Linked DNA regions of Drosophila melanogaster. The gene in region 2 interacts genetically with the main gene of each other region. Each region holds a gene or a part of one and is shown on either strand. Other genes may lie near its edges.

Region 1 (7,145 bases), on a different chromosome or scaffold from region 2:
GAATTTGTCAAATATTCAGAAATTATGGCTGATAAAGCCGTTCGCCAATGGGTAAATAAACAGAAAAATGAAACTGAAACTGAGGCAAACATAAACATAAATTGGGGCGGCTATTATCGGAATTCCATGGCTGGGCAGGCATGATTTGCATGTTATCAGTGGCAAATGGGGGGAGGGGACGAAATCACAGCCCAAACAGCCGGTTATGTGCTTATCGTTGCTACCCCCATTATAAATTGTGCAATTACCCGGAGAGCATGCCTAATCAAATTGCCTTTTTGTTTAACAATTATACACATATTTGCGATCCAGCGCACTGAATACCATACCACAACTATATGCCACTCACTCTCTGCCGGCCATTTCTTTGGCATGTCACGCGGTTTGCCGCTCTGGGTGGTGTGCCATGGTGTGTCGCATGGTGGGCAGAGAATGCAAATTGCAAATATACATATAAAAGATATGTCGCCAGTACAGAAATATGCACTACGGACGAACAAATGAACGAACGAATGCCCCATCCACAGCCACATCAAGTCGACAATTCGTGCTCGTCAGCCGCAGTGGCACTACGAAAACGACTGGCTGACTGGCTGGCTGGCTGGCTATTATTGATAAGGGGTCCCCGGGTCCGGTGGCCGACGATACTTCACATATGCCAACCGCTCGACTGCCGCTCTCTGCCATCGAAAATGCGGCATTTGACACATTTATGAAAATCGGAATCGGAATGCGCCGCAAACTCATTTTGTTGGAATGTTTTGTTGTCGTTTTTTTGTACGAAAATAAAACATTTCTCGGATTCGTCGAGTGTTTATGCGTTCGCACAGTGTTCGCGGCCAGGAATCCGCTTGCGTCCATTGTCGCACTCATCGATGTCGCCGGGTGGGTAGAATTTCGGAAGAAACTGTCTGACTGGGGGATCGCGGTTACAAAGAGGAAGATGTCAGCCGGAAAGGGGGCACTGTTGCAATCGTGAATCATGACTGGAGCACGCAGAAGGGTCTGCGACTGGATACACTGAGAGGAGTTAGAGCCCAATAGCAAATCTGAATTCAAAGATTAAATGTAATATGGCAAAATGTGATAACAAACAGCACCTCTGATTGGTAGCATACGAAGTATGTGAATAATAATCAGATTACATTTGGGAATTCATTAACTAGGCATGAAATCGTTTGCAAAACGTTTTGTTACATTTTGTTTCTTTATATAATGTGACTTTGATAGTCTAGAATATAATGATGTTTTTATGTAAGCAAAAATCTTGACATCTATTAAGACTTATCAGTTTAGCAGACTTGTAGAGTTTTCCAAGTTCATTCACATTAAATCCATTCAGAAATTATTTTAAATTTGTAAAGAGCTACTACTAATTTGAATCACTGCTTTACATTCCCATGAATGTTTTAGACGCAAGATGTTCATATTACTGGGCATTTCTTTCTGTGTCTGACACATTGTTGAAATACTTTCCGAGTCTTCTTGGCTCAAAGGTGAAAGCCATAAAAGAGCTGTGTATAACCCCCACCCCCACTGCCCCGTTTGGGTTGAGTACATCAGGGCATGTTGTTGGCCAAGTTGAAATCATAAAAATTGTCGACTCTTTTTAAACGGAATTGGTTAATGGCTCCAGTTGGTGTTTTTTTGTTGGTCTGTAAGTCTGGGTCGGATCGGTTTGTTCACTTACCGCTGGGATTGTTTTGCACCATGGTCGCCGCTCTAGAGAGTACATCCAGCGCCGTTTCCATGATGATCTCAACGCTTCTACGTGGGATTGGACGTGGATTTGGAGTTGGACTTGGACTTGGTTTCGCTGCTCCTGCACCGACTCGATCTGCACCGCATGAGTTTCACACTGAAAATGCAAAGAAATTGACCATGAACAGCCGCACCACACACACTTAAGCCGCACACACATCTCTCTCGTATGTGTGCCTTACAATATATACACCGAGATATCCAAGTGAAAAACTGGATATATCGCCCGAGCCTGGCATTGGCATATATGTAAATGGAACAAAACCAAAACCAAAGCCAAAACCAAACCAAAGCGAACAAAGACTGACTGCCTGACTGGCTGACTTGAAACAAGTAAGACGAAGGCGAAATCCTGCTGCCAAACAGTTGCCATCTGATCGGAAAGCTGTGGAAGTGGATGCTGATGAGGGGACATGCACGGTGGCGGGGCGGTGAGGGGCCACGATGCACTTGGGACTGGTTTTTTTCGGAGGCCCCAAGACCAAGAGTTCGGGGGCTGCTCCGTTGAATATTTCGGCAATGACCAAAGTACAGCAGCCAGAGCCATATTGTTGCTAGCCAGTCAGCCAACCATACAGCCAGCCAGCATCCGACGTCTAGTTTCCACATTAATATACGTAAATATCAGGCCACAACAGTGGAGCCACTTTACCTTTCGCCAGGTGTGCGCCTTCAAATCCTCGCTGGAATCCTGCTCCTCAGCTGTACGGCGATTTATCCTCGCTAATTTTCACCGACTTTTCACGATTTGCGCTGGGAAAAGCGGGGGTTCGATGATTTTTGGTATAATTGCAATAATAGTTCAGTTCGCGTTAGAGCTGGAAGATACGTCGATGTAACATCGATGGCCAAAGTCATCAGTCTGTATTCACATCGATATTTGCTCAGCCTTACCAACACTAATATTGTTCAGCGGTGACTTAAGCCCACATATAACATTAGCGTTGACTCGAACCATTTTTAGAAAACTTAATGTACAAACAATGTAAACATACCTAACAACCTAAAACATATTATTTGTCAATAGTATTTGCAAAGTATATTATAAGCAAATATAAAGGTTATGATATGAATAAACACCATATACCAGTTTTTTCCATTGGATAGAGATACAAAAAAGTTGAATAAAATATAAAAACGAAAAATGTTCGTATGTGTGATTATTAAAAAAGAAGATAATGCTTATATATATAGTTGAAACTTTACGACTAACACCTATAAGAAAAACGATAAAGTAAATCAAAGCCTATTAGACGAGGTACACGTTACTAGATACGTTCTAAAACCTCTGTTATTTAATTTCAATTTTACAAGTAAAAACCATCGATAGCGGCACAGTGGCAACATTGAAAGTATCGATTAGACATCGCCTGTTGTCCCAGCTCTAGTTTGTTGTTGCAAAAAAAGTGTGTGGGTCGCCGCCAGCGATCGAATATTTTAAAATTCCAATCAAATTGGTTAATTGGGGAGTTGCAATTGCTTGAGCGTTAAGTTAAACCTATTTCTGCACGCATAACTCGAAGGATTAAGGTGGAAAAGTGGAATTTGGAAAGCCGCTGGAAATTCGCACATACTGGAAAATCAATCACCCACTATCCCATTGTTCTGCTTGTGTTTGTGTACGTCTGTGTGCCTTTGTGAGGCGGCTGCACTTAATTAAAATTTAAGACAAGACAACCCAAGCAAATTTGGAGTCTTCGCGAGGCGTTGGCTTTCACTTGACGAAGAGGGCACCCCGATAAGGCGACCCAGTGAAAGCTGGCCAAGATCTCGCTGCTCAAGGTCGTTGTCAGTCTGGAATTATGGCCGTCAGCTTCGAGAAGAATCGGGCGCAAATAGTGGCCGCCTGGAAGGATGTGCTGGACGATAAGAGCGACACGAACTGGTCCCTCTTTGGCTACGAGGGTCAGACCAACGAGCTGAAGGTGGTGGCCACCGGCGATGGCGGCGTGGATGAGCTAAACGAAGACCTAAATAGCGGCAAGATTATGTACGCCTTCGTCCGAATCGAAGACCCCAAAACGGGCCTCAACAAGTACTTGCTCATCAACTGGCAGGTGAGTCCGACGGCGCCCTTATCTAATCGAGCTACGCATAATCTGACTGTGCTCCCATTCAGGGCGAGGGCGCACCTGTTCTACGCAAGGGTACCTGCGCCAACCACATACGTGATGTGAGTAATTTGCTGTCCGGCGCTCACCTTACCATCAATGCCCGGAACGAGGACGATATTGACTTGGATCGGCTTCTCAAGAAGCTGAGCACCGTGAGCTCAGCCTACAGCTTTAAGGAACCTCGAGGCGCCATGGAGGAGCAGAAGGCGCCGGTGGGAACCAACTATACTCGGGTCATTCCCACCAAGGAGTTAAACGCCAGCGTTATGCAGGACTTCTGGAAAAAGGAGGAGGCCGAGGAGAAATTGCGACAGGAGGCAGAGAAGGAATCCAAGCGGCTTGAGCTTCAAAAGTTGGAGCAGGAGCAACGTAGTCGCGAGGAGAAGGAGCACAAGGAGCGGGAGAAGTTGGTCATAAGCACCACCAAGCTCCAGCCGGCCCACGTACCCATCAAAACGTAAACAAAAACATCGGAATTTGACCTTCTCGGTAGTAAAAATTCTTTTTTTATCAAACAGGTCACCGCAACCTTTGAGCCCTGAGAAAACTGCACCAGGATTTGCCAACAATCTGACCGATGCGGAGCGCATGCGTCAGGCGAGGAACCAGGAGGCCCGCGAATTGATTGGCTCTCGTGTGGGTGCTGCCAAGGCCATGTTTACAAAGCACACGAGCGAGGGACAACTTCAGTCTAAGTGCGTCCTTGCCCCTCTCCTATTTTGTTGTATCAGAAATAAACTGCTCTTTTGATTCATAGACTAAATACGCAACCGCCGGCCAAACCAGCTCGCAACTCGATTGCCCAGCGCATCAACGTTTTCAACCAAAACCAGCCTCAAGATGCACCTGTGCCTTCACCACCACGCGCTGCGTCCCCTGCCAAACCGTTGCCTGTAGAGGCTCCCGAACCAGTAGTCCCCGCTCCAGCTATAGCTCCTGCTGCTCCCGTGGCTGCCGAGGTTGTTTCCACAATAGCGGAGGTGGAGGAGTCGCAACCGGTAGACGATTTGCCACTGGCCCATGAGAGCGAACAGTTCTCGACTATCAAGCGATCACCCCATAGTAAATCGAACTCGCTGCAGTCTCAGTCGCCCGACGAGACCACCTCTTCCAATGAAACAGACACCGCTGTTTCCCAGGAACAGGAAGAGGAGGTCCGCACCAAGGTGTCAGTCACCGTGCAGCAGTCGCAATCGGTCAAGTCGAGCGGCATGAGCACACTCGAAAGGAATGCATGTACGTAAACCATAGCTATGACCCGTTGTTCGTTCTATATTTAAACACGAGTGTTTTTTGTAGTAACGGATTTGGTAAACGAGGACGATTTTATCTGCCAGGAGACCTTAGGCGATCTGGGACAACGGGCACGAGCTCTATACGATTACCAGGCAGCCGACGAGACAGAGATCACTTTCGATCCAGGCGATGTCATTACGCATATCGATCAAATCGACGAGGGATGGTGGCAGGGACTGGGCCCTGATGGAACCTATGGACTGTTTCCGGCAAACTATGTCGAGATCATCAACTAGGGAAACCCAAGTGCCAAGCAGCTGGGACGCCCTTTTGCTAAATATCTACACCAATGCAGCTAGCAACTATATTTTGGATCCGGACTATAGCTACTTAAACACTTTACCCCATAATCTTGAACAATAATGCGATACACCTAGAAGAGATTCAACGATGACTAAATGCGACTATAAGATTTTTATCGTACATCACGCGTCTGTTTTTTATCTACATACATATTATTATATAACGTATAATCCATGCCACATATGCAACCCTATCATACGTTGTTCCCATTTGTATACATATTATATCATTGTTTGGCCTCGATTGCCGAAGCCGTGTTGCGTCCTTTTAAAATGTTCTTAGGATACATACAAAGTAACCACTTAGTCAGTATTTAAGGCCCGCTCCATTCCCGATCCAGGGTTCTTTTGTATATGTATTATTGATCGAGATTTATAACCTTTTCGATAATAAACTTTGATAATTGTGCAACCGAAGGATAACACAGTTTTATGGTCAACAATATCTACATTTATTTTCGCATTAATTAGTAGCATAAATAGTTATCATAGTTTTTTTTTTTTTTCTATAAGAGTTTACGTTCGTTTAACAATTCACCTGCAGCAAAGCCGTGAGTGGTGCACTCGGCGTGATTGGATGGATGAGTTGGCCTGTGGCAAGCAAGCGCGTCTGCTGTAGATTTGTATGAGATCATACGGCGGCTTGCTGCCCCTGTTGCTGCTCATCGGTACAATTTACGTATAAAAACTGGACTCAGGTTCAAAAATATCCTCATGGTGATCATCTATCGCTTAAACATAATCAGCTCTTTTAAGTGAAGCAACCCTTGTTGCCAAATCGTTTTCGCTCTGTTAACTTCCGAATTCTATGCAGGCACATTTTCTCAATATTAATTCTCTTACTAGCCTATAATCTACGCTGTGTGGTGTGTGTGTGTGTGTGTGTGTGTTATGATGTGTGGGGATGAGTGGGTGTTGAGTGGTTGACACGTGAGATTTGCATATGTTTAGATAGTACGGTTGTGCTTCTACGAAATACTAGCAAAGATTCGTCGCCAGCTCCTCCTATTCACATTCACATTACACATCAAATTCACTTTCACATTTACTTTGAATTCAGTAAAATCAAGTCTGTCGCTGTCCGTTGATGAGTCGGGATCGGAACTCTTCTCTATCCTCCGCCTGTTGTCACTTAAATTTGGTTAATTTGCGTAGCTGCTTCGAAACGGTCGCCTTGTAGAGGCGCTGTGTTCATCATTCCGACGTCGTTGTGGTTGTCTCCGACTGAACGGCGGACTGTGTCGCCTCCGCGGCGGTGGCTTCCGAAGCAGCTGCGCCCTCGACGGCAGCAGCATTTGGTGGTGCTGGTAGAGGGATGGGTTCCTGCATCTTTGTAGCATCCTGTGGCTGTGGAGTCACTGGCTCCGCATTTTGTCCGGCCGCTTCCGAGGCAGCAACTGCACCTGTGTCAACCGCTGGAGCTGTTGCGCTAGGTGCAGGTGCTGCTCCTGATGCCGCTCTGGCATTCTCCTCGGCCTTGGCCTCCAGCACATTTATCGAAGCCTGAATGCATCTGCAAGGAACAATCATTGAATTAATTAAATTCGATAATGAGCTCTGGTGACTCTGGTCACTTACTTGATAGCCTCCTTTCGGGCCAGACGAATGCTGTCCTTGCCGTTTGTGTCGATGGTGTCTAGCTTAAGCAGGTTGCGGGTCAGCATCTCGTCCA
Region 2 (10,095 bases):
ACCACACGAGTGCCAGCAGTTTGCCAGTACGCTAAGAAGCTAGCTACCCTCGTGGGTACGAACTTGCACTCTATTCCGCAAAACGCGCTCGAAAAGAAGTTTTATTATCTATAATTGGATATAATTTAGAATGGAGTATTAATCCTTACTAAGAGGCCATATATGAAACTAGCCCAGACATTTATACTTTTTCAATACTTTCTTACTTTTGCTAAGCACTTCAGCATTTATGACTAAATATTTTGTATTTGAAATGCATTACTGCTCTTTTTTCAAACAAAAGCAAAATTGAGGATTAAGATTCTGGTATTTAAGCATAAGACCAGAGGAAATTCCCAAACAAACATTTAAAGTTATCTATCAAGACATGTTCATTAATTTGGAATATAATTACTTTATTTTTTATTGTATATTTTAGTTTATGTAAAGAAAAATTACATACATCCATGTTTGCTTACTTAACCACACATTCATGGCTGCTTATATTCGTGAAACATATTTTATTAATTATACAGGTATTTAACTTTCACAAGGATAATACAATTTCATAGCTTGTTGAGTATACTGAAATGCTACGGAGTTCGATATATTTTAATGTGTTTGTATTTACAAAATTCTAAATTTTCATTTTGGATAAATGTTTTATATTAATCGTATCGATTGCAAGTTGGGGTAGGATTGAGTTCAGTGATAATATCGATTATTTATAATTTAATATCCAAACACCGACTACTATGATACAGAAGCCCATATCTACTCAGACCTTGACTCCAAAGAAGCGAACAAAATTAGCAAGTCTTTTAAATCGCTTTCCTTGGATTGTCGTCTAGGCTTAAAATGCAAATGCGTTCGTTCACTATAGCGATTAATTTAACGATAATTACTCGTTGGTGTATATACAATTCAATGAAACTTTTGATTTTAGACATATTATTTAGGATTAGGTGTATATTGTATAAAGGGTGGTAGAAAAGCTTTGGTGCTTTTGTGTAATCCAATTTCATACCACGCTTGGTTTCGACCATCGTATGGATTAATTCTCTTTGGAATTACTTCTTCTTTTTGTTTTTTAGAATTATGTCAGGCTTTAACGAGTTAATCAGGGATCAAGCCGATGTTTCGTTCGGTTCCATCCAGCCCTCGCTGTCGTCTTCGCTATCCGAATCCTCGGACTCGGATAATTCGATAGCCACACGTCTGGCCAAGATTGAAGCCACATCCAATGGCGCCGCGTTTCGTTCAATTTCCTTTTGCTCTGACTTTTCAACTTTACGTAGAGTAATACCTGGAAAGATTAATTTGATGATATTTTTGCATTCGAACCTTGAATGGCAATTACTTACCATCTCGAATGGCCTTCATCAAGTCGTTGCGTGGGTCATGGAATGGAGGCAGCATCTTCTTGGGTGCGACAATGTGAGGCACACCATTTTGTTGGCCGGGCTGCTGCATTTCGCCATTGGCCAGTGATTTGGGAAGAATTTGATGCGGGCGCAGCGTGTGTTGGTTGCCACTGCCCATGCCTTCCTCGACTGGAGGCGGTGGCGGCGGCGGTGGTGGCGCGGCATTAGGTGGCGACATCTTAGGCGAGTGCTGTAAGGTTTTGCCACAAATTAAACCAAATTGTGATATATTAACACCCATCAGTGAACAACAAACCTGATCTGGAACCGGCGGCGGTGGCGGCAAGTCGCTAAGGGAGTTCAGTTGATTGCCCGTCATACCGATGCTGTGGAAAGTATTGCTCAGTTGCGTCATGACCATATCATTGGCATTCTGGACGCTGTTGGGAGATCCAGCTCCCGACGAACTGTTCGCCCGGCCAAGCAGTTTGGCCGCCATATGCCCGCTGTTGACTCCGTTCATGCCAGACATTGGTGAAATGACGTCTGGAACTGGTGGAGGCGGTGGCAAGGCATCCCGACTGGTCGACATACTTCTGCCCCTTGTCGGAGTGTTGGCATTGGAGGCTGTGGGCGTACCACCACCGCTGCCATTCGATGGCGGAGCCGGTGGCGGCTGCGACGGACGCGGTTTGTTACGCGACGGTGTTCCCGGTCCGTAGATGGGCTCCGGCGACATCACTCCCTGTCCAGTTTGGCCGTACAGCGCATGCGACTGATACATTCCGGCGTCATACATCTGCTGATGCTGCATGTGCATCTGCTGGGGGCCACCCATGCCGTTGCCGAAGGTGGCAGCATACTGATTACCCATCTGCGGTGGAAGCTGCTCGTAGGTGCTACCATCGATCTGCTCCGACTGATAGCTTCGGTTCAATTCGATCGAGTTAGGACGTGGCGGACGTGTATCGTACACTCCCATATCTAGAATAATGAATGTGAGATATTAGAGCCGTTGACTAACCACCCATTAAAATGAACGTTTTTACAGGACACACATCTCATTTAAAAACACGCCAATTATTTTGTAATTACAGCCGAGGAACAATAAGACACATATGTAATTACAAGCAATTCCAAATTTCTGTGCATATGAGACCGCTGGACTCGAATAGAAATTTTGTTGAATATACAAACATCCGATTAAAAGTCTTTGTTAGCTCGTTGCACAGAAAACAATTTAGAGATACTTTCGTAGAATAAGATGTGGCGACAGAAAGGAATTAGTAAAGCTGCAGAGTGACATGTAGACGTAGATATGGAAATTGACTGAACTACAACAGAAAGATAGGAGGATCCTAAACAAAAACTGCGGCTCAATCACGAATCGCGAGTATGAAATGAATTAAAGTATTATGCAAAATGCAAGATGCATTGTAAATATAATGTGCACACACATTACATTAAAATTGCAAGTTAGAAGGTGACTAGTTTACAGTGTTTTGAGATAATAAATCTGCACTTTGCATGACCAATGAAACTCATAAATCATCGCCATTCCGATTGATAGTTTGAAAAAGAGAGTGTTCTCTGTACACACAAATGCTAAAGGAACTCAAAAAGGATTGCTAGTAAGGTAATATGGGGATAGAAGCGAGTGAAAGAACATATATAGTCTTTACTGAGCTTGCTAAAAGTGGATGTGGATGTCTAACCTGCAATCGCAACGGCGGTTTGCTTGGTGACATTACTGTTATTCTCCAAATGCGAAAGCATATTATAAGGCTTTACTGTATCTGTAAATGAGATGGTTATGCGCGATTGATCCATTCGTAATTGCAATGCATATTTATGTTCACGTTCATTAATATCATAACCGAAAACAACGAAAGAGTAGTTCATAAAAACAACATGCAAATAAATAAAAGCTGCGAAAAATAATCGACCATTCGGAGAATGAAATTGTAAGGTTCTCTGACCGTATTGTATTTACCATCAACAAGACGAACTTCATTGGAACAAAGTCAGTGAATTCAAATTAGAGACAAATCAAGTTCGAAAGTCTTGCTAACTTACAGGAGGATGAACTAGACTGGCCATAGACCATTTTGCTAATGGTGTAATAATAATGAATTAGATCGAATATATCCTGTATCTGAGATTTTAATCAAACTTTAGATGGAATTTATGTTAAGTACCATTTCATTTATTTTTTAAGCTCTGGAAACTTTGTTTCGGTCACCTTTCTCTGGGTCATGATTGTGTGGGTTAATTTCAATTAATAGCAACTTCAAAATAATACAAATTAGTGATCTTCGAACTGGGTTTTGAGGCGCATCGAAAACTAGCGAGCTTTTGAGTGAAGTAGGTGAATGAATGGCGGGTACATCTGTATCGTGGGATGTCTGCCGGGCGGAAATGAAAGCTACGTGGCCCCATCATCGTACCTACGTCTTGGATATTACCGACAACTTGGTGGTGCGCATCGAGAGTGCTATGCCGCAAATCGATGTCAGCCTCGCCCACAGTCTGTATTTTGACTAGCTGAACTACACGGGCAGACAGGACATAATTGATAATTAAAATAGATGTACCATTCAATAGGCAAGACAAGTGCAAATAGTCAGTGCGCGAAACGAACGTACCAATAACAGCCTATGAATTTGGTTCGCACTGAATACTTGGCTCACACGGAGACCAATCCCTTTCGCCAAGTACTTACTTCCGTATCCGGCTTCTTCGTTGACCATGGAATTCGGTGTGCGGTAGATGACGTTGTTGGGCATCAATGTTTCGCCGTGCACCAGTGCACGTTGTCGCTGCTGTTCGCGCGTATTGTGCGGCACCCTTATTTTGGTCTTCTGTTTCTTATTGCCACGTCCAGCAGCTCCGCCGGCACCGCCATCCTGCCGCGGTCTGTTCAGCTTCTTGCCCTTGTCGTGCATCACACGTTCGGTATCCTTCAGCATCTCCTGTCGCCACAACTCAAAGAAGTAGTTCGGATCCGTGTAGAACTTAAGACCATCCTTGCCATCGTCTCGATAGACATTAAGCTTGTCGAGGGGCGGCGGTTTGTCGCACTGGGCATATGTGTCCATCATTGGTGCCGGCATGGTGGCGCGCGAGAAGATCTGTTGATCAAAAACCTTGGCCGACTTGAAGGCCTTCTTTCGGGTAATGTCCGTCAAGGGCACCTCCTCAACTGTGCTGTCCAGCTGGGTAACTTTGATAGCTAGGCGATCGATGCGCGCCTGCAGGGAGTTAGCTCGATCCCCGATGTTGCCCACGTCGCGGGCCAGTTCACCGAACACATCCTCTGCGTGCTTGGACAGCGAGGACAGCTGGCGAATGATGTTCGTCAGCGTGGTGTTGGTGACCGTCTCCAGCTCCACGGATTGCAGCTCATCCTGCTGATACACGGAGCGGGCCACATGCACGGGTTCTATGGATCGTTTGGGCAGCGGCATGGTCGGGCGCGATTGACAATTATCTCCAAATTGGCAAACCCGTAAATTAGTGCGTCCTCATCGACTGAAAACGGCATTAATAAGTAATAAATTGTTTTAATACGAATTAATGCATTTAAAATTAATTAAATATAAAACCCTTTATTTACTGATTTACTACATAATCTCATGCCAAATTGGGATCAATAATAAAAAGATTTCTTTTTATGCTGATTATCAATTGAAGACATTTCATTCCGATAAAATTGTACTTCCCAAATTGTCGTTTAACTTTGTTTATAAATTTTCCCGTAAAAGTAGACGTTTAAAAAGTTAATTGGATACTATCAAAATTGGTTTAAAAGAAATTTTGTCATCACTATACTAAACCGTCTATGAACAAGACTCAGAATGGTATTGCAGAAGATTTCACGAGACGCTTATCCATGTATCCATGAGACGTGTTCATTACAATCACCAAAATGCCATTTGAATTGTTTTGTGATATGCGCGACTGACGAACTCGACGTCTGGACCACACCCCACGAAACGATACCCACAGCGAGGTGATAAGGGCGTAACGCCCAAGTCACCCCCGCAAGATGCACCTTGCAGTCCCGGCGAGATTAGTCGATAATGCCCCCCTTTTCGGTGGCAGTTTCTGGGTGCTACGACCTGGGGCCTTTACGTGGGCACCTATTCCATACGTGCATATACGTATATCGTCGGCGGCCTCCCACCAACGCAAATTAGACCGTCACGCACTCACACACACGCATGAACCGCAGCAGCAGCAGCACCCAAGTAAATGTACATACATATGTGTGGGACGGAACGGCTGACTCTTTCAGATTTTCGCACTGAAACATTCGCACTAAATCGCAACAATGCACACACAAAGGTATCTCTCACACTTTCTAATCGTAGTGGCTGCTGCGATTTTGATTTTGGTTTTGAACGGCGCAGCTTAGTTTTACACAGTCCACCTCACTTTACAGCATATCGTACACTCACCGCCCGTCACACTTTTCGTTTGGCGGCTGGCACCACAACAAACATTAAGCAGCCACTTCCGTTTCGGGGGTTCGGTGGCAAATTCGATCCGATGCGAACTCTAATTAGCCAATTTGGGGCTTGAAAACTGCAAATATTTGCTCGTTTTGTGGAAACTAAGATTTCCACACCTTTGCAGTGTGACCGAAGCTTTGTGGTTCGAAAATACTGCAGGGATTCATCATTTCGGAAAATCAGACAAATATACTGCACGATGCGGTGGGGAAAAAGTTATTTTTATATTAAATGTAATATGTATTTTAATTACTATATTTAAATAAATTTTGCAAGGGAATTTTCAGTAACTCATTTCATATTGTTTATTTACTGTATAGAATGAAATATTTTAAATATAAATATATATTCAATTTATTTTATTTTATTTTAACTCTATATTATCCATAATAAGCTATTTTATTAACGTTATTTAAAATTACTGTTTGCAGTTTCTTCCATTAACTTTAGAAATGTATATTTGGTATTTTTGGTATTTATCCGCCGATCGATAACTAGTGCTCCAGCCCTGGCCCCAATGCATAACATCTCTGTTTCGTCGCACACTGAATAGGTAAGTTTTCCGCACATTTCGTTGATTTCCTCTTGTATAATTCCAACTGCTTGCAGAACCAAATTGAAAAGATGGCGAGTTTGGCTACCAAGGGATCAGGACTTGTGAACAGTGAGTGTCGTGAATCGAATGCAATCGAATGGATACACCACCATTGGCGCCTGTCAATCGCAAAATTATGTAATGATCACTTTTTGCAGGGCTCCTCACACAGGCGAGGCCCCAACTGGACGTGTTCCTGAAGTACGCCAAGGTGGAACTGACGCCCCCGACGCCCGCCGATATTCCGGCCATTCGCCAAGGACTGGGCAACATCATCAAGGGAGCCAAGACCGGCGCCTACAAGAACCTCACGGTTCGCGAGGCCTGGCTTAACACCCTGGTGACCGCCGAGGTCATCTTCTGGTTCTACATCGGCGAGTGCATCGGCAAGCGTCACATTGTAGGCTACAATGTCTAAGCTTACTATAGTCTCCGCTTGGCAGTCACTGGAATGGGCAACGTAATCCCTAACAGATGTGTATATTTATATGTCTGCGAACATTTCGACTCTGAATAAAGTGAAATAGTAATTTAAAATTCCGAAAATTTTCGAAAAATACATTGTTTTTTGAAAACCGTTAGAACGTTTGCGCGGGATTTGTGTAAGCTAAAGATGAGGTGATGTAAAACCAAGTTTGGAATTAAAAGTTGACGATATTTAATGATAAAAATTAAAAAAATATATGTAATGTTATACATCAAATGTTTATGAAACGGTGTCGTAATCAAAGAGGCTAATGGTTCAGAAATACATAATATACTTAGAGCATTTAAAAGCACTCAAGAATAATTTTATTTAAAAAAAAAAATAAATAAATCTAAATTTGCTTTTCATAGATAATTCATTTACACATTTTTTTAAACAAAGTAAAGTAAGATGTATTGAATTATTTTATTTATAAATAACGTTTTTTATTTGAATCTTGAAAAGCATTAATATTATTATTATTATACTTATATTTTTTAACAACAAAACTTTTGTAGACAGAGTAAATTTTTGTAATCTAACTGCGGTCACACTTTACTTTAGTTACCTTCCGATCGGAAGAAGAACCCGGCTGACATTAGGAATAGGAACTTGGCAGAACTTTCCCAGGATCTGTCAGAATGGCCTACAAGAAGCGCCTACAATCGCAGAACCTCGTGCATCTGCTGCAGAACCGCGAGTCCGGATACACCAACGTGGGCCAACAGCCGGGCAGGATGCCGCTGTTGGCCTACGAGCGTCTCTTCTACAAGTGCATCACGCCTTGCCTGACAATTGACTCGATTACCATTCCGCCGATCTACCTGCGCAAGTTTACGCCGGATGGCAGAAAACTGTTGGCCTTCTCGCAGGATCAGCGCAGTCTGCTCATATACAGCTACGGGGGTTCTAGTTGTGCGGCGGTGGGTGAACTGATTCGCCAGGCGGATGTAGGCAGTGGCGAGTGCTTCAGTAGCCAGGACACCATACTCAAGAGCAGGATCTTTGAACGCCTGTTTCCCACAAAAGAGACGCTGAATCTATGCCAAGGCGACTTTGGCCTCTACTATCTGCACCGGGAGTTCAGTGTGTTCCTGGAAGAGGGTCGTTATGCCATGCTGGCTGCCATGACCGTTGTGCGCGGCGCACTGCCGGTCGATGACTACGTACGGTACCCAGATCTGTTCGACAAAGTGGACGCCTTCTCGTATGTGTTCTTTCTGGTGGATTTGAAGCTAGGCGTCGTCACAGATAGACTTATCCTGCCTAACGACTCCATCGTCATTGCCCACAATCATGGAATTTCCGTGTTTGGCTCAACAGTGATGATGATGTCCCGGCTGCATCAGTGCGTTTACGTCTATTGGGTGAATGACGGTAAGTTCCACCAGCAGGAGACTATTGGTCCCAGGCCGAGGGACTTTATCGAGAAGGCTACCACAGACTTTGACAATCTTGACGCCACCACAGTTTTGCCCATAACGCACATTAAACAGCGCGTCCTTAGCTTTCTGTACCGTAAAATTAATGATAAAAGTGGCAACCCGACGGAAAGTCAGAAGTCGTTTTATAAAAACTTTGAGTATGTAAGTAACATTATAAAGAGTGACAACGGTCTTCACATCCTTACATATCTCATTTAGATAGAACACATGATCATGGAGAGAATGCATCTGGTGAACAATGAACTTCTAATGTTGCGCTATGAAGAGCGGCCAAATGGTACCGATACCATGCCCATGGCTACATCACCGCGCCGCTTGTATGTATTCTACACCATAACTGGCGAAGAAGTGGTTGGCGTTTATCCGGAATATTCCGTCAACCTGCTGCAAATCTTACTGCAATTCAATGACTACATGAGCAATGATCGATCGCTGCAATTCGGTGATGCACCTTCATTGCCCATGCATTTTTTCCTAAGGCATACCTTTGCGGATTCCAATGAATCGGTCTCCGTCGATCGACATACGGCCTTGCGCTTCAACCCCAGCGTTCCACTCAGCTCCCAGAGCCTTTCCTCGTCGCCCTATCTAAAGTTCAACGAATTTAGATACGACAGTCGGTACGTGTCTCCTCTGGAGCAACCCCATCGCTGCTGCAACGATCCTATTGTGTTTCTTGACCGTGCCACGGATTCAATCAAGTTTAGACTGCACGCTACGGCCCGCCGGCATTTAAATCCTTTGGCGCCACGGGAATTGTGCGCCTTTATTTGGCATCCCTTTGACCCACTAGTGCTCAGTATCCAGAAATGCATGAACAGCTACGTCTACCACGTGCACTTGTATAACCACAGCACAATAGTGGAAAAGTAGACTGCCTAATATGTACATACATGATTTTGTACATTTGTGTATAAAACATATTCAAGTACCTTTTATATTATGAAATATATGTGATACTAAAATATCTCGTTTTACCTTTTCAGTAATGTCTTTATTTACAATGGTAAGAGAACATTTCTTTCTTTTATTTAATCAAAGACTGTGAAAATTGTGAAAATTCCAAGTACTGTTTAAATCTTTAATTCGACTTTGCTACATTGTATTGAAGGCCGACTTGAAACTTGAGGCCCAATCCGACGTTTAAAGTTTCATGTAACATTGTATCTCGACTGCGACTACGTTGAAGATTGGTGGTGACCGTCCTCGTTGTATTCCTTGTTGACCTTAAGGGAATGATTAATAACGCTCGAGCCGCCTGGAGGATAGTTCGGGGCAGGCCCTGATCCCGGGCCGCTGGCAGGCTGCTGTGCCTGAGGCTGATTGGGGATCGCATTTGGGTTGTTAACTGGATTCTGTCCGGGAGCCCCCTGCGGTGGATAGCCGCCTGGATATCCGGACGGGTCGGGTGGATACATTGATGGTGGCGGAGCTTGTTGCGGGTGTGGCGGTGGTGGTGGTGGTGGGGGCATGTACAGATTGTAGGGATATGAAGGATAGCCTCCCATTTGAGGATACGGAGGATACGGCATGTACGGATTGTAGAGATATGAAGGATAGCCTCCCATTTCTTGATACGGAGGATAGCCCGGATTAGGATATGCAGGATAATTGTACTTGTGCTCCGTCTTGGAGTGCTTGTGCTTCTTCTCTCCACTGCTGCTGCTGCTGCTGTCGCTGCTATCGCTGTCCGTCCTAACCACTTCGTACTGAAGTAGCAGTACCAGAAGGA
Region 3 (7,183 bases), on a different chromosome or scaffold from region 2:
TAAATGCTTAGAATGGGGCACACTCGAAATTAGAGTCGCTTTTTCTCTCCCCCGCTCTTTTGGCGCCGTTCAAAATTTTGTGTGTGCTTTTTTTTTTGTTTTGTTTTGGAGCCACCTCTGCGCAGGCGCGCCTGGGAACCAGTTTTGTGGCAGCCAGTGGTGTGTTGTTGCTCGACCGCTTTCTGTGTGTTGCCAACAAGGCGGCCCTTGTACATTCTGTGGGCCTGGAAAAAGGGGCGGCCAGACTCGTTCACAAACTGGCACAAAGCAATGAACTGTTGAATAAAACAAAACCGAAAACACACCTGAGAATCTTTTCCGGTGCGTCCCCAAAGAGCAACACCATTTCATCCACCAGAATCACTAGAACCACCAGATCCACCGGAATGAACCTCTAGAACCTTCGGAACCCACAACCTGGGCAAACACAGACTTTTGAAGTATAAACGCAGTACGTGGGCGTTGCACCGCGGTAAGGTTTTCAAAATAAATTAAGGGCTGTGAGTAATTATGGAAAAAATGTACAAAATCATATCAGGAAGTGACTTTACACTTTCCACAGGGCATATGATGTGAGTAGAATGAACTTATAGAAGTAATAATTCCATAAATATTTTATTATTTATTAAATGGCTGCTACCTCATATATAAGCTTTAGTTTGTGTGTTTAGCACTACAACATGCTATTAATATGGTCTGAAATAAATAATAAAACCACGCATGCTGAGCCCGTTAATTGCCTTCAGAACCTTAGAGTATGTTCCCCAATTTCCCACCTCAATTACCAAACAATTTGTGTTCGATTTTGGTGCGTTGTGGCCCACGGTATCGTTGTTGGTGTGACTCAATGCTAACAATGGAATTTGTTGTTGCTGGCAGTACGCTGCGTATGCAAATAGCGACAGATAAAACGGCACTACGTGATCACCGCGATAAAGACAATCCAACGGACAGCATTGAACAACGCCCACAACTTTTAAACATTTGTTTGCATCGAATAAATTTTTGGAATTAATATCGTGTAAAAGCGAAAGCTGCCACTGTCTTTTCAGTTTAGTATAATATTTTCCCCACTATGTCATATTGTTTCTCACATTTGTGGTTTTTGTGCATCGGTAATTTCCCAAGGTGGCTGGCTAATCGATGCAGTCGCAGAAAACGTGGAACATTGCAAGGAGAAACTAGACAGAACTAAGCAGTTGTCTCGACTTAAAGTTACCTAATTACAACTTTCTATGCTTAGTCCAAAATCATACCAAGAGTCCACATCCCAATTATTTCGGCTATAACCAAAATTGGTCCTGAAATGTGCGCCCTGCATTCTCAGTATTGCATTCAATTCCACTTCCGCCACAATTCCCCACTCCCCACTAAGTACTGGGTAGTAAAGTACGCCCTAACCTTTAAAGGACTGGGGCAAATCAGTTCTTTTTCAGTTATACTCTGGCTATTTTTATAGACCTGGCTAACGACTTGCACTAATGGCCAACGTCAGGCAATGGTCGCGGCCGGCTGCGTAGGCCCACGGAACATGGCCCACGACCCGCGTCACGGCCGATTGCACTTTAACACTTGACCAGGTTGAAACACCGGACACCGGAGAGCGGAGAACGCGGGTGTGTCCAGCGTACAATTTCCATTCCATTCTCGATTTTCATTTATGTACGTGCCAGAGAATTTCCATAAACTCGCGGGGTCACGTGTTGTTATCGTTAACGCAATGCAGGTAGTTTCGGTTCATTTGTGTTTTCCCTCCACTTTTCCAGCGTGCCTAGTATACCTGTGCCGCGATTTTTCCCCTGAAAATGATGGATTATATCTGTTTAGGGCGGAAATTCAAACGAAAGCCGTACAGAAACCACTCTCGAAGTGAAGATGACGCTGATGATCTTCGCTGTCGGTGTCTGGATTTTACGATGGAAGCTGCCATAAACCAGTTGCTGTGATGCCTTTCAGGGATTTCCCAGCCCAGACATTCATTTTCTCTTCTTTTTATTCGTCGGTTTTCCTTGTCAATCATAAACCAAAGTCATTTGATAAATTCTACGATAAAAGGTATACGAAAATACAGGGCCTATAGAGAGGTTGGTTCTTTACAATTAAAAGAAAATGTGTTCATGGAAATGAATGAATTATAGCTCTTTATTAGGGCTTTTCACTCGTTTGGATTTTTTTTAATTATTAAGCTGAAAATTTGTTTACTATTAGCTTCAAGAGCTGATAAACTGGTTTACTATGTTTTCGCTGCACTCCAGGGCTTTCCCTACTTCGAGTTGGAAAACTCTTTCTCTATCTGTGCTCCCTTCTCCTGAGTGTTCTTCTTATCAACCTATCAACGGAATTGCGGTATTGCTGACGTTGAGTTGGCCGCGCTTTTGCAACTGTTGTACTTCACTTTCCGGCCAAAAGATAAGATTGCGCGTAACAACAGCCGGATGGCTGGCCGTTTGGAGGGTTGGTACTCGAATTGTAAATAAATAGACCCAATTTTTGAGGTCGTTTTTGCACAATCCGTTGGAAAAAGGGGGCAGACAATGCTAAGCCAGCCAAACAATTGAGCCGCGGACAACATGTAACAGAAAATTACACATAATGAGTCAGCAAGAGTTGTGAATCAATTATTATGATCGTTATGCGATAAGTTTCACAGATTTCACTGTTGTGATATCGCTAAAAGCGCTTTGAAAATGCAGACAAATGAGGTTTTATTACCAAAAAATCGCACCAGTATCAACAAATGCAGAAACAATAATTTGTTACGATTCCCTGTTATTTACCTAAAAATATGATATCCATTTGTAAGCTACAGTGTGTAAAAAATGCGGGTCACGTTAAAATATCTCTTCTGGTTTCAGTAATTAATTCTTCTTGGCCAAGATTGCTAACATTAACCGCCTTTGAAGCTATAATTTGATTAATTATCTCTCTCAGCGACTAAAGTTGTACTCTACTAAATATAAATTTATACGCAATCGAAGCTAATACATTTCTAAGCATTCCTTTTGTTTGCAAGATAAGACCGAGCACACAATCATCAAAAATTAGAAATGAGTGTATAATTAACACAATCAAACTTCAGGTAAGCCAGCTCCATGAGTCACTTCTTGAAGGAAAACCCGTTGAACGAGTTTTTCGTAGGCCCGAAATCATTGAAAATCCAAATTCCTTTTACCCAACATGACTTGGTCAACATCCCCAAAACACACGAATGCCCCACCACACACACACATGACCTGTTGCTCTTTTTTTTCGATTACGAGCTTTTGAAACATCAGCAAATGTTTAAGCTAAAGAATGCATGTGGCTCATCATATAAATTATTTACAGTGTGACTTCCGTAACTCAATCTCATTAACTCATTAATCATATGAGCAGCCAAAGGCTTAAACACAATAACAACATTACAAATTCCATTTAAAATGGGCATCTAATATACATTTTAATAATTTATAACGGGCAAGTTCAGTGCTGTGGAGTGATCACTGTAGCTTAAGAACCGCGTAAACACCGTGTTGCTCTCTCATGTCCCCATCTTCGCTCTCTCCTCCTGAATGTCCTCGACTGCCTATCGCCCTCCCTCTCACTCACTCGCTAGCTCCCTCTCAGGGTTCTCTCTCACCTGTTGCTAAGTAAATAAGTATGAAGAGCGGTATCCATTGAGGCGACGAATAAACTGAAATGGCGCGCTTGAGCAAATGCGACGTAATTTGAGCTGCGCTTTTCGTGCGGTCTCGACTTCTTGCTGTTGTTGTTGCTGTTTCTACTGATGCCGCCACTGTTGTTGTTGTGGTCGTTGCTGTTTCTGCTTGCCGCTGTTTTTGTTGTTGCGACAGTGACGCATTGGCGATTTTAGCCATGATCGCTGATTTGTTGGCTCAAGTCGAGTTTTCGTATTGGAAAGGGTTGCTTTTGGCTAGATATTATTGCTATTCAAACGATACTCATTGAGCTTGTTGTTGTTGGTAATTGCATTCTCCCTTCTCTCTGCTCCACGCAAACACTCATACGCACACACACACACGCGCGCAATCGGCACTTGGCTTAGAACAGGTTATTTTTATTTTTTTTAAGTTATATTCCTCTTTTTCTGCTAGTTGTATTATTTGCAAACTTTCGCACGCGACACTTTCTAGCCTGAATTTGAATATTGAGCACAGAGATTCCACTTTGAGCCAACTAATTTGCCATTTCTTCCCAGGCCACGATTCTGAATCACACCAACACACACACACACATACGAGCGCCGAAGACTTGGCTTAAAAGAGAGGTGCGCTGTTCTTGTTGTTGTCGCTGCCCTTTTGAACTGCAAGCAGCACACACACACGCGCGCGCACACACATTGGCCAAAACGGGGCGAAAAAAACGTTACGAGCGCGAGCAACCAATAAAACGTACGTACGAGCAGCAAGAAAAATGTTCGACCGTTTGAATCGGCGATATCCGTTTCGTGGGCTTATATATGGTGCAGTGTGACCAGTCCGCTTGGCTAGGTTTGGCTGGATTTTGATATAGAGTCAACATGCATGGCCACACTGATATTCAAGTTGCACAGTGGTACAATATGTACAAAAAAAATATTTTGTTCTTGAATTGATTTCGCACAAGAATTAAACCGTTAATTACATTTTCATAAAACTTTACTGATATAACTATTCAATATATCAATTAATATCGTGTGTATGTCTAGGTGACATTCCAAAATACACGAGCATAGTAAAGTTTAATTTATGGCGGGAACATGAAAACGTAAACTTCACTTAAATTACCAACGGCAGTTATGGGTTTTGTAAGTTGTGACCTACATCATCATAATCCAAATAGAATAAACCTTTTATAATACCGCAAATCTTAACTTGCGAAAATTCCGCACTGCACATATTTTCAAGTCGGAATGCATAAAAGTAAATTCCCCATAAATCAAGAAGCCGGCGGATAGCAACTACGTACTTAATGTAAATGTAAACGGCCACAAAGCGCCGACTTATCGTTTCAAAGAGAACTCAGCATAAACAGGCAGCACCGACAACATGTCGTCAATTTTTGGAGGTCTAGGTGGGACTATATAATGTGGGTAAGCCTGGTTAGAAATCACAGCAGTTGGGGAATTAGCAAAATGGGCAAATCGCAAAATAATACTGGTTCGCTTTTGCTACTGATTATACTGGGCATTTCTCTGGGAGATTCCATGCCCCTGGAGGATATGGACTCCCAGGAAATGATTGACTTGACAGATCTTGGAGATACTCTGTTCGGTAATCCGGACGTGGAGACGACTGGAGCTTTGGTTGAGGCACTCGGTGTGGAATCCCCGCTGAATCCCGAGGAGCTGGGAACCTACCACGAAGGTGACATCCTGATTCCACTGAGCTACAGGGACGCCCGATTCAATGGCACTCGTAATGGCATTTTGGCGCTGAGTTCCCGCTGGCCGGGCGGCGTTGTGCCCTACGAGATCAAAGGTCCTTTTACCAGCCAGGAATTGGGGAATATTAACCACGCTTTTAAGGTGAGGTTTCAGTAATAGTCCCTATTACAATTTACAAATAAGATTTTGTATCTTAGGAATACCACACCAAAACATGCGTGCGCTTCAAGCCCAGGACCACCGAAAAGGATTACATCTCCATTGGTAGCGGAAAGTCTGGCTGCTGGAGTAGCATTGGGCGCTTAGGTGGTCGCCAGGAAGTGAATCTGCAGTCGCCCAACTGCTTGCGTACATACGGCACTCCCATTCACGAGCTGATGCACGCCCTGGGCTTCTTCCATGAGCAGAATCGTCACGAACGTGACTCCTATGTGCGCGTGATGAAGGACAACATCAAGCCCGAGATGATGGTCAACTTCGAGAAGTCCAGTTCCAGGACACAGTACGGCTTCGGCGTGGAATACGACTATGGCAGTGTGATGCACTACTCCCCCACCAGTTTCACTCGGAATGGCCAGCCCACGTTGAAGGCACTGCGTGCCACATCCGATGCCAGCCAGATGGGTCAACGCAAGGGCTTCTCAGCCGGAGATGTGCGCAAGATCAACGCAATGTACAAGTGCAAGGTGTAGATGACAACTGCAGTCGAAGCATTCGGTAACAGTATTTTGACAAACATAAATATTTATCATCAACAATCAATTGTGTTTACTGAAAAAATATGTCTATGGGTACAATATTTGGTTAGATAATTAACAATCGCCTATGTGCGTCGTGTCTTGTACTGCTCCGGGAACTCTCACGCCATCCCATCCTAGTGGTACGGCAGGTTCTTATTTGTCTCAAAGAAATAGTTGCCCTGCATGTTGAGCTCCTTGCAGATCGTCGAGAATCTTCGGATGGCGTTGTACGTGCCGAGGTTACTTCCATCTTCACAGGGAAACACAAAGCATAACAGAAGATACTATATATACAGCACAGCAAGTGTCCGATTGCATGCATTGGTTGGTTGATTGGTTAGTAATCCGGATCATTCACTCCAGTCAGCGGATGGTTAGTGGGGACGCGCCTTTTGGATGGTGGCCTTACCTGGGCCCGCGAAACCGGCACCCGTCGCATTCAAATCCAGATTCATGTAGAGAGCCATGTTTCCGGTTGATCCGTGCCGAGATCGATTGTTTAAGAAGTCCCGGATATGCTGAACGATCAAATCGATGGCCACTGAAAGGAAAAGAGCGGACAATTAGTTCGCACTCAGTTTGGAAATATCAAATCGTAATGCTGCACCATCGTAAGCATTGCAACTCAATGTGGAACAATGCACTTACCTCGCTGCTCCTCCCGAGCTCCGCCGATCCAAGCGGTCTAGTCTAAGCCCAGGACTTATTCTAGCTCTAGTTAGTGGGATCTATTACCTAAACGCATCTAAGCTGGGCGGCATGTTCTGGTTATTGTTAAGCTACTGTGTTTTGTGACTGAAGTTAGTGTGCTTTACAATAAACTGGTTGTGTACTTACTAAATGAAACACCGATTTATCTTCACGCCTTGATAGGCTAATCACTGCCTTGCATTTGTATATATTTGAGACTGCATAAAGGTGTTTAAAAGGGGCGCGTTTTGATAACACTATAGTCGCAGGTTCCGACTTCAAAGATGCCCGGTACTAATGATATCTAATTTATATTAGCCCTTACTTTTTATAAGGATATAAATATTGCTTAAGAAGAATTCATAGAAACATCTAAAATGTATGTGAC
Region 4 (8,237 bases), on a different chromosome or scaffold from region 2:
TTCCGCGGTAAGCACGGGCTGAAGTACTTCACCAGCTATGGTAGGTATCAAATCGAATTTAGCTCAAGGAATGGTGTGTGATGTGTGACCCCTGTTGATTCCCATTTGCAGGTAGCCTGAGGAACATCACCAAGCTGAAGCCCTGGAGTCTAATGAACGTGCTGGTGGAGAAGTACGACTGGGACCCGGTGGAGGCCAAGAAGTTCTCCGACTTTCTGCTGCCCATGCTTGAGTACAATCCGGTTATACGGGCGTCGGCAGCGGAGTGCCTGCAGCATCCGTGGTTGGAGCAGGAGGAGTTCGTCTAAGAGGCTCATGGAGTGACTAGACAGCCAGAGAGACACAGGCATAGGCACAGTAAAATATTGCATACATAACATACGTATTTCGTACTCGTATTGTATTTCTAGGCTTAACTTTTATATGCAAACAATTTGCCATAAAGAGGAGGTAGCAGGAAAATGGGATGAGGAGCTAGCATTAAAGGACTCGATCGAAGCACACACATTTTACACTTACGAAATGCGGACGATGTGGGGGCGTTCCGCGTCGAATTTTTTAAGCTTTTTAATTTTTGTACTTGAGAGCTTTAAAATGTAATTACTAAAGAAGCGATTTTACTTTTAACGACAAAAGCAAACGAGAGAAGTAGCGCAAATGTTTTTCAAGTTTTATTTCGACGACGTGCATATAAGTATATACATACATATACACATATATTTTTTATTAACTGAGAAACAAAAACAAAAGACAATGACGACAATTTTTAGTCAACAGATGCCTAAACTGACTGACTGAAAAGGAATACATTTTCATGCGAAACCAAGTAAAACCAAATCAGTGAGAAATGCTAAATAGATTGTACGAACTAGCAAAATATTCAGCATCACATAAATAACAATACCTTCTATAATATTAATAAGCAAGTATGTGTATAATTAACGAAACCCCATTGTAGATATCGAGAATGTTCACAAATACAGATGTAAACTCAAATATTGACAGCTTTTTAGCAGAGTGTAGTGATTTTGGTACATTTAACCGAACCCATTTGTAGATGTTTAGGCCTATGTTGATTACGAGCAGATTTGAAAAGATGCCCTACTTACCCGATTTCGGTTTGCAAAACTTATCATTTAACCATCCGTGAAAAAGAACCTATCCCAGATCATGTAATTCAAAAAGAATTAAAAACAATAATAAATCATTGCATAAAAGTCTTTGTATCGGAATTGAAAACTCAAAATCGAAATTTAAATACTACCAATGATAACTACTGAGAAATCATATTACAAAATAACGAAAACATATTTTACTACTTGCCTACAAGTATTTGTACACAAGCCTACAAAGTAACATTGAACGTGACCAAATAATTTAATATTGCGGAAGATTTTTCCCCCAAACTCATATTTAATATACACACACGTGTGCGCATGTGTCCAAATGAAATTTAACAGAAATTGAAGCGGAGGAGCTGCACGTTCGCGGGAGTGGACACATATTTCAATAAGCCGAAATAAAGAATATACATACCGATCCGATCTAGAGACAGCTTATTAATGTGGGATACTTATTTGGGTTGTATAAGCACTTTATTCGAAGTCGTACGAGTATAAAAATGCAGAGTCTAGAATACATTTGGGTATGTTTAACAGTTTTAAAGTATGTTAGATTAGCATAGTGATCGATAGTCGATCGGCGGATAAACTACATAAGCATTATGTGGAATACACAGATCGGCTCCATTTAGAGTGCCAGCCCTAAGATCTGTTCCTGCTTGTATACGCCATGGTACGCGTTGCGTATAAGCACGTAGGGAAAGCAGGACTCAAGCAGATCCATTGTGAGGAAGGGCGATTGTTTGACGATTTCGTCCAGCAGCAAATAGATGGACTCTCGGTTCCGTGTCGCCTCTTTGTCGGACTCCTGGCCCAAGCGCAGTAGGGAAGAACTGGCCAGAGCAAGGAACTCTTTCATGCGGTCCTCCATGTCACTTTGACCGCAGATGGTAAACAGGGCTCCGAAGATGTTATTAATGGCCGCCGCCATGCAGTGCGTGTTATTTGAGTGGCCATCAATTGTGGCTCTGTAGAAGGAATTTTCGTTACGGGCCAGTTTTGGTATAGACACTGCCACAAAGACCATCAGTAGACAGGCAGTGAGGTGCTCACCCTCATCGAATTCTGGCTTTTTTGATTTCAGTGTAGTTGCTAATGTGGGGTCTACCTTGCATAGCAGACCCGCTGCTGAGGCCATCTCGGAAGCAACCCTAATTTGGTCGCCTCCGGGCAAATGTTCCTGAAAGTCCTTCACTGAGCTAAGCAGGAAGGGTATGCGCTTGTCCAGCACATCAACGAGGGCTTCATGCACCAGGTTGCGGAAACATATGATCACACCAATGATCGTCATGCGTTGCAGCACGCGGTCCACGTCCTGTAAGCGCTTAAATTGCTCCTTCATCACTTCAGGTTTGTCAAAACTGGTTCGCAGTGTAATGAGCACTTCCTTGTTGGTGCTCACCAGCGACTTCAACTCTTGCACCTGGTTTGCTATGTGCCACATAAGTGTTTCGTTCAATGTTTTGATACCGTAAGGTCCCACAAGTTCTGCAAGTGCTCGCAGCTCGTTGAGATCAGAGAATTCCTGCGGGTTAAATGGTACCCAGCCCTCGGGCGAAATGGGAACAAAAGCCTTTTGGTTAATGGAGAACACAATGTTGCCAGCGGAGACACGCCTTAGCAGAACCTCACTGTACCAGGTGTTGTACAAAGCGGCAATGGTTTTCTCGCCATGAGAGTCTAAAGCCTGTGTTTGCTGCAACAGGCAGTTGTTGAAAACTCGTGTTATGTCTATGTGCACGTAGTTCTCTACTGTCTGCAGCACGTTCATGTAGGCTCGAACGCTGGCCAGCAGCTCCGAGGGCTTGGCTATCTCCATTGTCTCCTGGTTGAACATCACCATGCCAACAAGATCCCGGGAAAAGCGGTGTTCCAGGTTCTGACAGAGATACTCGCGAGGGGCAAAAGCAAACTCCCAAACGTTGACCGTGGGGCAATAATTGATTGCAAAACAAAGCTCCGTCAGGGCCATGTGCAACTTGTCCATCGTCGTCAGATCCTCTCGTGTCTTTCGGTACGACTCGTCTCCCGGCTTTCGTATGTCGTCAAAATGCTTAGACTTCGATTTGTCCTTCTTCTTACGAGCAGATTGTACGGAAAGAATCTTAGCACAGTGTTTTGGCAATAGAGCGTCTGCCATTGTGCACTGCTCATCGCAAATTGTGGTTATAATGTTTTTAGCCTCCTTAGCCATTTCCTCAAGAAATATATTTACCACGCTGAGAGACCTTTCACGTATATGGTGTCGCTCCTCCGGGCACATTTCGTGCGTACAATTTTGGAAGTGGCTGCAGATTAAGGGAAACGCTATGATGTAGCGGTTCTGCGCGGGAAACTCCAAGCACATGTGGAATTGGTCGTCAAACATTTTGTTATAGAAACAGAAGATACTGAGATCCGAGGTTTCTACTAGTATTTCGTCCAAGTTATCTACCACCCTAGTGTGGAAAACCATTGAATCCAGTAGGCGGGCCAGCTCTGCATGCTCTGCGATCCTAAGTGCAGCCTTTCCCACACTCATGTACGTTTGGAGGCGGAACCAGTCCAGGCGGAATGGTCGGAAATAAAAGAGTTCGTTGTCTTCCACCTGCTTAACTGTCAGGGCTGCAGCCGTGTTGTAGAGCGAACTGAAGATTATGCTTTCGTCTTCTGGACACATTTGCAGACTTTGCATTCGAATATTAAGATCCGTGGCATCGAATCCGGACAAGTATTGCACGTAATATCGCTGCATTACCTGGCTGTATTTACGCACAAGAGCGCGGAGTTCCTCCATGTGGAATAAGAGCTCCGGCAGCTGTCGGTCTACAAGATCTTCATTGCTCTTTCCTATAAATTTAAAATAGTTAAGGTTCACAAATTTTAATTTAATCGTAAGAAAATCCTTAACTAACCTTTATTTTTGAGAAGAGGTGGGTTGTCATTATGCCTGAGGAGCCATAGAATCTCATCGCGCGCAAGACAAAGACCGATGAAAATGAATATTGCCTTAGGTCCCAGGAGGCCTGGTTGGTCGGTCATAATAAGAGCTAGCTCCTTCAAGGCTGTTCGAAGAAACTTGCGCCGCTCCCGATGCATTAAAGCAGCTTTTTGAACCGCCGTGTTGTAGGCTTCCTTTACTTCTCCGATCCGCTTGCTGTAACCTTTAATTCCGTCGAAAGTAGCCTGAATGTATTGATGAATTTGCAGGACCTCGTCGCGGAACAAGGCCACAACCCAGCTTGACTCCAGGGCGGAGAGCCAGATTTTGTTGACTTCCGGGTACTGTCCGAGCATTTGATGGTTCAGCAGCAAGCCAAAGATTATCCAGCGGTCCATTGCCTCCAGGGATATGTACTCGCAGGACATGGTGTCAGTGCGGACGGCCTTAAGAAGAATGGCCGGATTGCCTACCAGACTCAACTTTTGCATTTCCCTCCACTTGTCTGCTGGCAGGTTTCGCAGTGCATAGATGGAGGTCAGCGACCGCAACGCACTGGTTAGCAGGCGCTGGTGGGGAATGAATTCCTCGGCCAACTTTTTTAAGGGGACCTCGTAGTCCAGAATCATCTGCCCCAAGCGGGGGAAGCCCGTGTCCGCCTGATTGTTTTGCAGCTCGTAGGCGGCATTGTACAAGCCCAGAACTGCCTTGCGGTCCTCGACCCTAGACAAAACAATCATCAAGGACACGTAGGTCACAACCAAGTCCAGATAATATTTGGTCAGCTCGAAGTTCAATGTGATGTCCAGGTGAATCTGGCAGGCGTCCATCGTGGTGAGCAGTTCGCATACATTGTCCTTGAAATCAAGTAGGTCCACGAATGTGTGGTAATACAGGGACAGCGACTTAATAATCTCCGCTTTGATGTTTACAATAGCATTGAGCCCTTTGACGTCGATGTTGGGGAACCGCTTCACGATAAACTTGATGCTCGATTCCAACGACTTCTCGGAGAGGAAGCCTGGCTTCGACTTGGTGTCGCCGCATGCTTTCTTGATGTTGTATATCCGCGTAAGAATGCCCAGGCCGCGGTCATTCAAGATGATTAGTTTCTCAGCTATCTTCTGCTGGTTCGGAAAAATTGGGCGTGCCATATCCGATGACTGTTGGCGACGTCGAATGGCTGAAGGCGAGTTTCCGGTGGAGCCCAGAACACAGGTGTGCGCTGGCGAGACGTATTGGGAGGCGTGCAAGTGCTGATTTGCCCAGTACTTATACTTTTTCGTTTGTTAAATTGGCCGAAAAGGAGCGACACAAAAGTGTACACATTACTCTTCCTCTTGTTTTCGCGTTAGTGATGACCAATGGGCTGATAGCAAAGATATATTGCTATCGATAACGATAGCTACCATATATATGCTAAACTATTGATTGTTAAAAAGAAAATATACTGCTGAGAAAAAAAACATATGGCTTAATATAATTTAAGATAATTTTTTTATAATTATATATTACAGTAATTTGGTTATACTACAAATTAATAATAGCTGGTATTTGGGGTTTTAATTTATTAGAATTATTTGTCTAAGTCAGGAATAATTGCTTTCAAAACTATTGCATAGTTTATTCATTCAATTGCCAATGGCTTTCTTACTTAGTAACTTACAGTTCAGTTTTTTATTCTTATGGCTAACAAATTTATTAAAGTTGTTAATAGTAAATAAGCCTTTCTTTTTTTTTCAGTGCTGTCGTCAGCTGATTATCAAGGATGCCGCTCATCGGAACCTACTATCGATATCGCGAACCCATGAGCTAGAGAGCGATTAATGAACCACTAGTTCCGTACCTCGGGCACGTTGTGTGCCACGCAAAAACGCCGCAAGTCAGTTGAATTTCTGATATAAAAGGTGGGCGAATAAGCTCTGTTACTTGATAAATAATACAACAGTGAACTTTGACAGCCATGGGAAAAAAACTAGAGCGGAACGACGTGTGTCGGGTGCCAGAGAACATTAATTTCCCGGCCGAGGAGGAGAACGTACTGCAGAAATGGCGACACGAAAATATCTTTGAAAAGTGCAGCCAGCTGTCGAAGGGAAAGCCCAAGTAAGTGCCGCATACGATTGCATCAGCCGATCGCCAAATTTTGTGCTAATTTTCCACCTCCAAGATACACGTTCTACGATGGACCGCCCTTTGCAACCGGGCTGCCCCACTACGGACACATTCTTGCTGGCACCATCAAGGACATCGTCACACGGTACGCATACCAGCAGGGATACCATGTGGACCGTCGCTTCGGCTGGGATTGCCACGGACTGCCCGTGGAGTTCGAGATTGACAAGCTGCTGAATATCAAGGGTCCTGAGGACGTGGCCAAGATGGGAATCGCAGCCTACAATGCCGAGTGCCGGAAGATTGTCATGCGTTACGCAGATGAGTGGGAGAATGTGGTGACGCGCGTGGGTCGCTGGATTGACTTCAAGAACGATTACAAGACGTTGTACCCATGGTACATGGAGTCCATTTGGTGGATCTTCAAGCAACTGTTCGACAAGGGTCTGGTCTACCAGGGCGTTAAGGTGATGCCCTATTCCACCGCCTGCACAACGTCCCTTTCGAACTTCGAGGCCAACCAAAACTACAAGGAGGTTGTGGACCCTTGCGTAGTAGTTGCACTGGAGGCCGTTTCGTTGCCCAATACCTTCTTCCTAGTGTGGACCACCACGCCATGGACACTGCCCTCAAACTTCGCATGCTGTGTTCATCCGACGATGACCTATGTAAAAGTGCGCGACGTAAAGAGCGACCGACTTTTTGTTCTCGCAGAGTCTCGTCTCTCTTACGTGTACAAATCGGAGACGGAGTACGAAGTGAAGGAAAAGTTTGTTGGCAAAACCCTTAAGGACCTTCACTACAAGCCGCTTTTCCCTTACTTTGCGAAGCGAGGAGCTGAGGTGAAAGCTTATCGTGTCCTGGTCGACGAGTACGTGACTGAGGATTCCGGTACGGGTATTGTGCACAATGCTCCCTACTTCGGAGAAGACGATTATCGTGTGTGCCTCGCTGCGGGCCTCATCACAAAGTCCAGTGAGGTTCTCTGCCCAGTGGACGAGGCAGGACGGTTTACTAACGAGGCAAGCGATTTCGAGGGCCAATACGTCAAAGATTCTGATAAGCAAATAATGGCCGCGCTGAAGGCACGAGGAAACTTGGTTTCCAGTGGCCAGGTGAAGCATAGCTACCCATTCTGCTGGCGGTCAGACACGCCTCTTATCTATAAGGCGGTTCCTTCCTGGTTTGTGCGCGTCGAGCACATGTCTAAAAACCTGCTTGATTGCAGTTCCCAAACGTACTGGGTGCCGGACTTCGTCAAGGAGAAACGTTTTGGAAACTGGCTGAAAGAGGCCAGAGATTGGGCTGTAAGTTTTGTAAAGGAAACTTTTTTGTTATGTTTTTAAATCAAATTATATATCTAGATCTCCCGCAATCGCTACTGGGGCACGCCGATTCCTATCTGGAGGTCGCCTAGCGGTGATGAGACCGTCGTTATCGGCAGTATCAAGCAGTTAGCCGAGCTTTCCGGCGTTCAAGTCGAGGATCTTCATAGAGAAAGTATCGACCACATTGAAATACCATCGGCAGTTCCTGGAAATCCACCACTGCGTCGCATAGCTCCTGTTTTTGACTGTTGGTTTGAATCAGGTTCAATGCCGTTCGCACAACAGCATTTCCCTTTTGAAAACGAAAAGGACTTTATGAACAATTTCCCGGCTGACTTTATAGCAGAGGGTATCGATCAGACCCGAGGCTGGTTTTACACACTCCTTGTGATTTCGACGGCGCTATTTAATAAGGCACCATTTAAAAACCTCATTGCAAGTGGACTGGTCTTAGCTGCTGATGGTCAAAAAATGTCGAAGCGCAAGAAGAACTATCCCGATCCAATGGAGGTGGTCCATAAGTATGGAGCGGATGCTCTCCGACTGTACCTTATCAATTCGCCCGTCGTAAGGGCCGAGAGTCTGCGTTTTAAGGAAGAAGGTGTGCGCGACATAATCAAAGATGTGTTCCTACCGTGGTACAATGCATACCGATTCTTACTACAAAATATCGTTCGATATGAGAAGGAGGATTTGGCAGGAAATGGACAATATACTTATGATCGTGAACGCCACTTAAAGAATATGGACAAG

What was found.
Region 1: of SCAR (region 2) and Abp1, changing one suppresses a phenotype caused by changing the other (phenotypic suppression), as found in Drosophila melanogaster (one study listed by BioGRID).
Region 3: of SCAR (region 2) and crb, changing one suppresses a phenotype caused by changing the other (phenotypic suppression), as found in Drosophila melanogaster (one study listed by BioGRID).
Region 4: of SCAR (region 2) and Hem, changing one suppresses a phenotype caused by changing the other (phenotypic suppression), as found in Drosophila melanogaster (2 studies listed by BioGRID).

The regions. Positions count from the first base shown.
Region 1 is NT_037436.4:13,482,276-13,489,420, reverse strand, and holds Abp1 (actin binding protein 1), read left to right. Parts: upstream 1-3,140; 5' UTR 3,141-3,563; coding exon 3,564-3,818; intron 3,819-3,880; coding exon 3,881-4,332; intron 4,333-4,393; coding exon 4,394-4,570; intron 4,571-4,632; coding exon 4,633-5,111; intron 5,112-5,174; coding exon 5,175-5,407; 3' UTR 5,408-5,888; downstream 5,889-7,145. Other genes in the region: stv (starvin), read right to left, coding at 6,668-6,986, 7,052-7,145.
Region 2 is NT_033779.5:10,972,677-10,982,771, reverse strand, and holds SCAR (SCAR), read right to left. Parts: upstream 6,001-10,095; 5' UTR 5,702-6,000; intron 4,875-5,701; 5' UTR 4,811-4,874; coding exon 4,066-4,810; intron 3,893-4,065; coding exon 3,791-3,892; intron 3,140-3,790; coding exon 3,059-3,139; intron 2,328-3,058; coding exon 1,660-2,327; intron 1,594-1,659; coding exon 1,344-1,593; intron 1,286-1,343; coding exon 1,107-1,285; coding exon of another isoform or gene 1,050-1,106; 3' UTR 377-1,049; downstream 1-376. Other genes in the region: piwi (P-element induced wimpy testis), read left to right, coding at 1-114; ATPsynG (ATP synthase, subunit G), read left to right, coding at 6,482-6,521, 6,611-6,870; abo (abnormal oocyte), read left to right, coding at 7,560-8,504, 8,562-9,236; CG16743 (uncharacterized protein), read right to left, coding at 9,542-10,095.
Region 3 is NT_033777.3:24,292,301-24,299,483, reverse strand, and holds the start of crb (crumbs), read right to left. Parts: upstream 4,407-7,183; 5' UTR 3,858-4,406; coding exon 3,620-3,857; intron 1-3,619. Other genes in the region: CG5715 (uncharacterized protein), read left to right, coding at 5,114-5,506, 5,563-6,057; Uck (Uridine-cytidine kinase), read right to left, coding at 6,240-6,355, 6,515-6,646.
Region 4 is NT_037436.4:22,282,793-22,291,029, forward strand, and holds Hem (HEM-protein), read right to left. Parts: upstream 5,404-8,237; 5' UTR 5,196-5,403; coding exon 4,016-5,195; intron 3,951-4,015; coding exon 1,750-3,950; 3' UTR 1,562-1,749; downstream 1-1,561. Other genes in the region: Srpk79D (Serine-arginine protein kinase at 79D), read left to right, coding at 1-40, 112-308; IleRS (Isoleucyl-tRNA synthetase), read left to right, coding at 6,005-6,147, 6,212-7,463, 7,521-8,237. UniProt on the Drosophila melanogaster protein: Plays a role during growth of the oocyte.